Saccharomyces cerevisiae S288C: one gene and its partner. Changing the gene in region 1 together with any one later gene gives a genetic interaction. Each region holds a gene or a part of one and is shown in the gene's direction. Other genes may lie near its edges.

The links. Genes that interact genetically often act in the same process or in processes that back each other up.
Region 2: mutations in DAL1 (region 1) and SMM1 together harm fitness more than expected from each alone (negative genetic interaction), as found in Saccharomyces cerevisiae (2 studies listed by BioGRID).

What each region holds. Positions count from the first base shown.
Region 1 is NC_001141.2:404,913-410,295, reverse strand, and holds DAL1 (allantoinase), read left to right. Parts: upstream 1-2,653; coding exon 2,654-4,036; downstream 4,037-5,383. Other genes in the region: DAL4 (allantoin permease), read right to left, coding at 1-1,828; tyrosine protein phosphatase YVH1, read left to right, coding at 4,329-5,383. UniProt on the Saccharomyces cerevisiae protein: Catalyzes the conversion of allantoin (5-ureidohydantoin) to allantoic acid by hydrolytic cleavage of the five-member hydantoin ring. Involved in the utilization of purines as secondary nitrogen sources, when primary sources are limiting.
Region 2 is NC_001146.8:651,520-655,041, forward strand, and holds SMM1 (tRNA-dihydrouridine(20) synthase (NAD(+))), read left to right. Parts: upstream 1-1,867; coding exon 1,868-3,022; downstream 3,023-3,522. Other genes in the region: PHO91 (Pho91p), read right to left, coding at 1-193; YNR014W (uncharacterized protein), read left to right, coding at 946-1,584; acetyl-CoA carboxylase ACC1, read right to left, coding at 3,154-3,522. UniProt on the Saccharomyces cerevisiae protein: Catalyzes the NADPH-dependent synthesis of dihydrouridine, a modified base found in the D-loop of most tRNAs. Specifically modifies U20 in cytoplasmic tRNAs. Also able to mediate dihydrouridylation of some mRNAs, thereby affecting their translation.

The sequences.
Region 1 (5,383 bases):
TCCAATCTTGCTCGAAGTCCTCAACATAAGCCCATCTTTGGAACCATCCTTTCTCTGTCAGAAAATTGGTTACGGGAGTACCAGGGACAGGAAAAAAGTAACATAATATGAGGTATATCACCGCACTAATAAAGAAACCTACCGGATAACCTAAATAGTATAACCTCATTGCACCCTCTGAAACCGTAATTTTTGGAGCTCCAACATCACCTATAAAACCTGGTAAATTTGGAGCGATACCGCAAATATACGCAACAAAGGCCCTCCAATTGGCACCAAATTTGTTTCCAAACATGTAAAAGGAACCCTTCTGTGCCAGGAATAAATGTGTTAATTTCACATATCCTCTTCTTACTACGAAATAATCCGCGCAAATGACACCAGCAATACTGGAAAGGAAAATTGCATAAGCACCCAAAGCGCTGGTGAACTTACTTGAACTGGCCATTAAGTTCCATGGACAGATACATAGAGCCATTGCCACACAGAATAAAGAACCTCTTCTAATATTAATATATCTTGGAAACAAAGCCGTCATATCAGCACCACATGCCAGAGAGTTGGCAGAAATGTTTGTACCCAGTTGAGCTAAGGCAAATACAAAAGAAATCAAGAACACACCAGCCCTAGTACCTCTGGTGTAAGTGGTCTCCAAAAATTGACCAAGTACATCCAGTGGTGACCAATAGTTAACCCCATATAAGTGATAACCGGCCGCAGTAACAATGATACCGATCAAACATGTTATGGCGAAGAACAATGGGATGGCAACCAATTGTGGCCACAAAGACGCTTGAGGATTTTTGGCAAATCTACCGAAGTCAGGGGCGTTGATAATCAAAGCGGCAAAGTTAGCAACACAGGCCATTAGGGATCTAACGAATATCCATGAAAATTCGGAACCATGAGGTGAATAATCATTCAGCGTCCCCAACTCAATTTTACCGTGCGATTTCTTCAAAGCCCAGATTAAAAATCCAAAGGCTGCGAAGGGGATCAAAGCTGCTTTTACTGTGAATAAATGCCTGATTTTATGAGGAGCCACTAGGACAAATGGTATACTGACCACCCAAAATATAAAGAAACACATGAATTCAAAAGTAGTGCTATTTGGAGAACCAAAATGGTTTGGGATTCTATCTTCCAGATTCTTGCCAAAAATAGATTTTAGCATCAGTGCCACGGGCGTTGCACCTAACCAGGCTTGCACGGCATACCATACTATAGCCATCACGACACGATTTATAATCGGCCACATAGAAAAGAATATACCAAATGAGGCCCTAACAGTAATAGGGAAAGATAAGTGATATGCGGAACCAAATCTCGAGTTCAATACTACGAAGATACCTGCAAAAGTGTAGCCGATCCAAACTGTAAGCCAACATTGCCACCAATTCAGACCTAGTTGTAGACCTGTACCAGCTATTTGCCATGTGTTAATATTGAAACAGTCTGCCAGCCAGAAATATAAGTAATTGAACCAGGACCAACACCTTCTTTCTTCTTCAACCGGTTTCAAGTCTCTGTTATACAAGAACGACTCTTTCAACGAAACATTCAAAGTTGTCTTGTCTAACACAATGAAATCGTAGTATATTTTACTCCAGATGGACTTTGTTTCGGGCAAGGGCACGACTTCGCTCTCCTCTATTGAGGAGTTGTCCACATACACATTAGTGTTGATATTCTTGTTCTTGTTGAACTTCCCATTTTCCACATCTATAATATCATCTTCATTGTTTGTATATGACACAATAGATGTGGAGGGTTGGACACCTTTCCTCGAAGGATTACTGAAAATAGCACTTAGAGCGTCGTTAGCCATTCTCGTCTTTGTTGATGTTTTATATCACAAGATGTAGATGAATATAAAAGGTCAAAAAGGGAAACTAAAGTAACATATATATTCAAACTACTCATCAAGCTAATTATTTATACTTTTTTTTTCTTCCCCATGTTTTCCTAGCCTTCTATGCTCAACACTAGCAGATCAAGTTTCTCGATTACAAACTTGTTTCTCTGATACTCTACCTCTCTATGCTAATCATTGGACACAATTTTTAAAGGAACCTTATCGACGTGACAGCAAAGCGGTCAATCCATCCTATTATTCCTTCTCATCTCCCTGAAAAGGAAAACATCCTGGATCTTCAATTACACATACACATTCCTTATCGCAACTAGATTAGAGGCGCTATTTTGTATGCGACAGCGAGTAAGGATGGCCGGAAAAAAAGCGGGCGCATTTTCCCTGGCAGAAATTTTTCATTGATAAGAAAGTAATACCGATAAGAGATACCCTCGAGCCACATTAGACCCGAGAATTGCAGGAAAGAAAGGAACTGCATGTTTCGATTCTATTGTCCCTTACTGCGGATCATCGAATAGGCGCAAATGTGTTGATGGTGGACTGATGGAACTTTATCAGGAGAAGTGGTTCAAAATTGCGGTGCTTAATTATCTATATAGAGGAGGCATATCTCATCGAAGGGGACAATGATGAGGTAACGCAAAAGTGATGAGTTTCTACTGGTATCTTGTAATTGAAGGTACCCCTTTTTCTTTTAGCTATCTTTAATTAGGTTAGAAAAGTGTATATTTCGCAAAAACGTATAGGCAAAAAAAAAGTGAAATACTGCGAAGAACAAAGATGCCTATCAATGCCATCACTTCCGACCATGTCATTATCAATGGTGCAAATAAACCTGCGACTATTGTGTATTCGACCGAATCAGGCACGATTCTGGATGTTTTAGAAGGCTCCGTGGTTATGGAGAAAACTGAGATAACCAAATATGAAATACATACGCTGGAGAACGTATCTCCATGTACAATTCTGCCTGGACTTGTGGACTCTCATGTTCACTTGAACGAGCCCGGTAGGACTAGCTGGGAAGGATTCGAAACTGGAACTCAAGCTGCTATTAGTGGCGGGGTCACAACGGTGGTTGATATGCCGCTAAATGCTATTCCTCCCACAACAAATGTGGAGAATTTCCGAATTAAATTGGAAGCTGCTGAGGGCCAAATGTGGTGCGATGTTGGGTTTTGGGGTGGACTGGTACCACACAACTTGCCAGACTTAATTCCGCTTGTCAAAGCTGGCGTTCGCGGGTTCAAAGGATTCTTGCTTGATTCTGGTGTGGAAGAATTCCCTCCAATTGGCAAAGAATATATAGAAGAAGCCTTGAAGGTCTTAGCCGAGGAGGATACCATGATGATGTTTCATGCTGAGTTGCCCAAGGCACATGAGGACCAACAGCAACCCGAGCAAAGCCATCGTGAATATTCTTCGTTTTTGTCCTCGAGGCCGGATTCTTTCGAAATAGACGCCATCAATTTGATTCTCGAATGCTTGAGAGCCAGAAATGGACCAGTTCCTCCTGTACATATAGTTCATCTGGCATCAATGAAAGCAATTCCCTTGATCAGAAAGGCACGTGCGTCAGGGCTACCAGTCACAACAGAGACTTGTTTCCACTATTTGTGTATTGCTGCAGAGCAGATCCCAGACGGAGCCACCTACTTTAAATGTTGTCCACCCATCCGCTCTGAGTCTAATCGCCAAGGCCTATGGGACGCTTTGCGTGAAGGTGTTATAGGCTCAGTAGTGAGCGACCATTCGCCATGCACCCCTGAGTTGAAGAACTTGCAAAAAGGTGACTTTTTCGATTCTTGGGGAGGAATCGCTTCCGTCGGACTAGGTTTGCCATTGATGTTTACCCAAGGCTGCTCTTTGGTCGATATCGTTACATGGTGCTGTAAAAATACATCCCATCAGGTAGGACTATCTCACCAAAAAGGCACTATAGCTCCCGGGTACGATGCTGATTTGGTGGTATTTGATACTGCAAGTAAACATAAAATAAGTAATTCAAGTGTCTACTTCAAAAACAAATTGACTGCCTACAACGGGATGACGGTCAAGGGCACAGTTTTGAAAACCATATTAAGAGGCCAGGTGGTATATACGAATGCCAACGGAGTCTCGAAAACACCATTGGGTCAAACTTTGCTTGATTCTAGACGTTAAACTAAAGTTGCAAATTTTTATTAAAGAAATTCTATAGAAATAAAAGAAACAAATTTATAAAAAGTTATTTACACACATACATATATTAACCACTCTTAGTTTGAGATGACACAACTTTTAATGATCTACAATATATCCATCTGGGTCTCCACGGCTGCAATTTTGAAATTTTCTTAGCGCTAAAAAAAAGAAATCTAACTGAAAAAAAAAATTATACCTCAGCTCATCGAATGCATCTAATACAGGTATAACGCAGAGAAAGCAGTAAAAGCAGCAAGAAATTACAGGGAAGATGGCTGGAAATGCAAACTCAGTAGACGAGGAAGTTACCAGGATATTAGGAGGCATATATCTTGGCGGAATCCGTCCAATTATTGACCACAGACCATTGGGTGCAGAATTTAACATTACTCATATTCTTTCTGTTATCAAATTCCAGGTCATTCCAGAGTATCTAATAAGGAAAGGTTACACGCTAAAAAACATACCCATCGATGATGATGATGTGACTGATGTGCTGCAATACTTCGATGAAACGAACCGATTCATTGATCAATGCTTGTTCCCCAATGAAGTTGAGTATTCGCCCAGATTAGTAGATTTCAAGAAGAAACCACAACGTGGTGCTGTTTTTGCTCATTGTCAAGCAGGACTCTCGAGATCTGTAACCTTCATAGTAGCCTACCTAATGTATCGTTATGGATTGTCACTATCAATGGCTATGCACGCTGTCAAGAGGAAGAAACCGAGTGTTGAGCCAAACGAGAATTTCATGGAACAATTACATCTCTTTGAGAAAATGGGTGGAGATTTTGTCGATTTCGACAACCCAGCCTATAAGCAGTGGAAGCTGAAGCAATCTATCAAGTTAGATCCATCGGGCAGCGAATTGGTCTCCAATTCTGGAATGTTTAAAGATTCGGAGTCGTCGCAAGACTTGGATAAATTAACTGAAGCTGAGAAGAGCAAGGTCACCGCAGTGAGATGTAAGAAGTGCAGAACCAAATTGGCGTTATCTACATCTTTCATCGCGCATGACCCACCAAGTAAGGAATCATCAGAGGGACACTTCATCAAGAGGGCCGCCAACTCCCATCGTATTATTGATATTCAAGAGTCACAAGCAAATTGCTCTCATTTTTTCATCGAACCTTTAAAATGGATGCAACCTGAACTACAAGGCAAGCAAGAGTTAGAAGGGAAGTTTTCATGTCCAGGCTGTTCAAGTAAAGTTGGCGGTTACAACTGGAAAGGATCTAGGTGCAGTTGTGGTAAGTGGGTCATCCCCGCTATCCACCTGCAAACTAGTAAAGTGGATCAATTTCCCTTACAATCCACTGCTTTGCC
Region 2 (3,522 bases), on another chromosome or scaffold:
CTGGAGAAGCATCTGCCAATAGCGGCAGATTTTCATCGTTGGCGTCATGTGGCTCCACAACATGGTGCTTATTGTTACTGTACAGCTTATCTTTTTGCAAAGAATAGATCAATTTTTTCAGCTGCGAATAGGCCAGATACTTGGTAGACCATTCTGGTACAGAATTGAATTGTAAGGAATGCGAGAACTTCATGTCAGTCTGCAAGTTACCGTGTCACCTTCACAGTTTTCTTTTTATTTGACTAAGTAAAAAAAGAAAAGAAGTTATTTTTACTAAGATTTTGAGCGGCATTTTTCCTAGTTACTTATCAATTTTCATACATGCAAGACATACTCAATTTTTTTTTTTTTTTTTCAGTTTTAAAATTAGTCCTGATCAAAAAGCCATCACGTGGATCCCCGAAAAAAAACGGATCCGGGTAACCAGAAGTATTTTTTTCAAGGGAATAAAAGTTACCCTACCAAAATAAAAAAATTCAAGTAGGGTAATAAAGTTCCACCCCCCATCAGGATTATCGTTCTCTGACATCACCCACTCTCTGCTCGCTCTCTGCTCGCTCTCTGCTTTCTTTCCCCACGCCGGAGTGATTAAGGCGGATAGGCCCACCTGAACACCTCGCTCAGAACATCAGCGAGAGTTCCAGCCCCTCTACCCCTTACCTCTCGCCGCCCCTCATTTCGGATCAAAAGCAAAAGAACAAAGGGCCTTCGCAGAAACGGAAGGTTTCGACCCCTCGGTGCCGTTTTAATTTCTTTTTCTGGCCAGTTAAGCTTTTTGACTTTCTCGAATCAGCCCAGTGCAAAACAGTACGCATACGAGCACACAAATGTATATATATGTGTATGTATATATGTATATAGGTATGTGTGTGTACATCCGAAGCGTAAACTAATGATCTGCAAGTTTCAGATTTTTTCTCGAAAAATATAACTAATAAACGTTCCATGTCGTCCACGGATATCAAGCCTTGTGCCGTGAACATCCCTGTTTCCGCTCACATCACCTTCCACTACAAGTCGATCGCGGACAGAAGCAGCAGCAGGAGCAGCAGCAGCAGCTCCTGCTCCTCTGCTACATCTAAAGCCTGCTCCCCCAGAGGCAGCTCCGTCGGCTTACCGCCTGCTTTATCAACTGACAATGAAATCGTCGAGACTGTACTTAATGTTTCCGCTCCCGTTGTAGCAGACCCTACGCGGCCCTCATTGTTCAAGAGTAACTACACCGCAGCCTCGTGCTTGACTTCTGACCCAACCTCGCCGTCACTACTGCCCTCTTCTAGGCGCAACTCTGTATTGCCGGCAAGCGACTTCCACCAATGCGCGCATCACAAAAACTTTCAAAGAAGGGCCAGTGAGCCACAACTGCCCTCCTTCGATAATCGCTCGTCGTCCGAGATGAAAAGGTCCGTCTCGTACGCCCAGCATAGCATGATGTTCCCCATCAGTGACCAACAGGAGCCGCAAACATCCGCGTCTCCTAACGACCACTCAGACCCGTCTTGTCCTTGCAACAGACATCACCACAGAAGAAACTCGGTCGCCGTCAAGTTTGACAAACCATTGTATGAGAGACTAGAGACGTAGTTATCCATTCGTCCATCCATCTGTCTATCGTCACACAGCATTTCCCATCCCTCCTCTATACATACATACATATACAGTTCTGCGTGGTCTACGCAGCCATGTATATATATATTTCCGTCGTTTTATATATTCATTACTAAAATCGACAATGCATTTTTTGCCGCTTTCCATTTCCTCTACTTTGCTCATCACTTCGCTCGAAGAAAAAATGAAAACCGTCTTGAAAAACTTTTGCTATTTCATCCATCCAAGCCACACCAAATAGCGCAGTCACACAGAGATCATGGTTACATATGCTGGAAAACTGGTTCTAGCTCCAATGGTAAGAGCCGGCGAACTGCCCACGAGACTGATGGCGCTGGCCCACGGTGCAGATCTCGTCTGGTCCCCAGAAATCATCGACAAAAAGCTAATTCAGTGCGTCAGGAAGGAAAACACTGCACTCCAAACTGTCGACTACGTCGTGCCGTCCAAGGTTCAAACGAGGCCGGAGACGCTCGTTTTCAGAACATATCCAAAACTAGAATCCTCTAAATTGATTTTCCAGATCGGGTCTGCATCCCCGGCTCTGGCCACCCAGGCTGCTTTGAAAGTGATCAACGACGTCAGCGGGATAGATATCAATGCAGGCTGCCCCAAACACTTCTCTATACACTCCGGCATGGGCTCTGCCCTCTTGCGCACCCCAGACACACTGTGTCTCATCTTGAAAGAACTGGTTAAGAACGTGGGTAACCCTCACAGCAAACCCATCAGTGTGAAAATAAGACTCTTGGACACCAAGCAAGACACTCTACAGCTCGTCAAACGTCTGTGTGCCACGGGCATCACAAATCTTACAGTTCACTGCAGGAAGACTGAAATGAGAAACAGAGAGCAGCCCATCACAGATTACATTGCGGAGATCTACGAGATATGCCAGGCAAATAACGTGTCGTTGATTGTGAACGGCGCTATCCGCGACCGCTCTCATTTTCATGATTTACAAGCGAATCATTGGAAAAACACTAACATTGGTGGTATGATTGCAGAGTGTGCTGAACGGGACCCTACAGTTTTTGATCACACTTCTAAGCCTTCAGAAGACGGTCCATCTTGGGTCGTTGCTTGTCGCGAGTTTATTCAGTGGGCAACGAAGTTTGACAACCACATCGGCAATACAAAATACATGTTAAGCAGAATTGTCCCCGGAAAATCAGTCTTTTTTCAGTACTTTGCCCGTTGCAAGAGCCCGGAAGAAGTTAGTTTCGTACTAAAGCAATTGAACGATGATGGAAGCGCTCAAACAGATCCTTCAGAGTACTTGGAAAACTGCAGAGCTCAAGAAAAAGCTTTGAAAAACGCCAACGCCATCGCCAAGCAAAAGAGGAAACAGACCGATCACATAGGCAGTGACACTAAAAAGCAAAAGGTTGTACCCCTTCCCACAGATATATAATATATTCTAAGTAAAAAGAACGGATTATGAAAGAAAACGCGCATAATATATATATGTATGTATTTTCTAATTTATATTAGCAACTAAATTAAATTACATCAATACTATTTTTTTTTTTTACTTTACAAGGTTTATTTCAAAGTCTTCAACAATTTTTCTTTATCATCGGTAGATAACATCTTGATAACTTCAGATAATCCATCAATAGCATTGTCATGGTCGCTTCTGATCTTTTTAGCTAAGTCTTGAGCGAATGACTCTAATTTCAAACCCTTTAGTTTATCGTCCAAAGTTTTGTAGTTTTCTTCAATCCATGTTGCGACTTGCCTATCATCTTCATGGTCCACTGAAGCAGGGTACCACGATCTAATTCTTGCGATCTTTTCTAATCTTGATGCTTCGCCTACCTGATGGCTCAACCTTTTAATCAAATATTCTTCGTTCAATCTTCTTCTCAATCTCCAGAAGAAGAAACGACGTGCCTCGGTCCATTCCAGTTC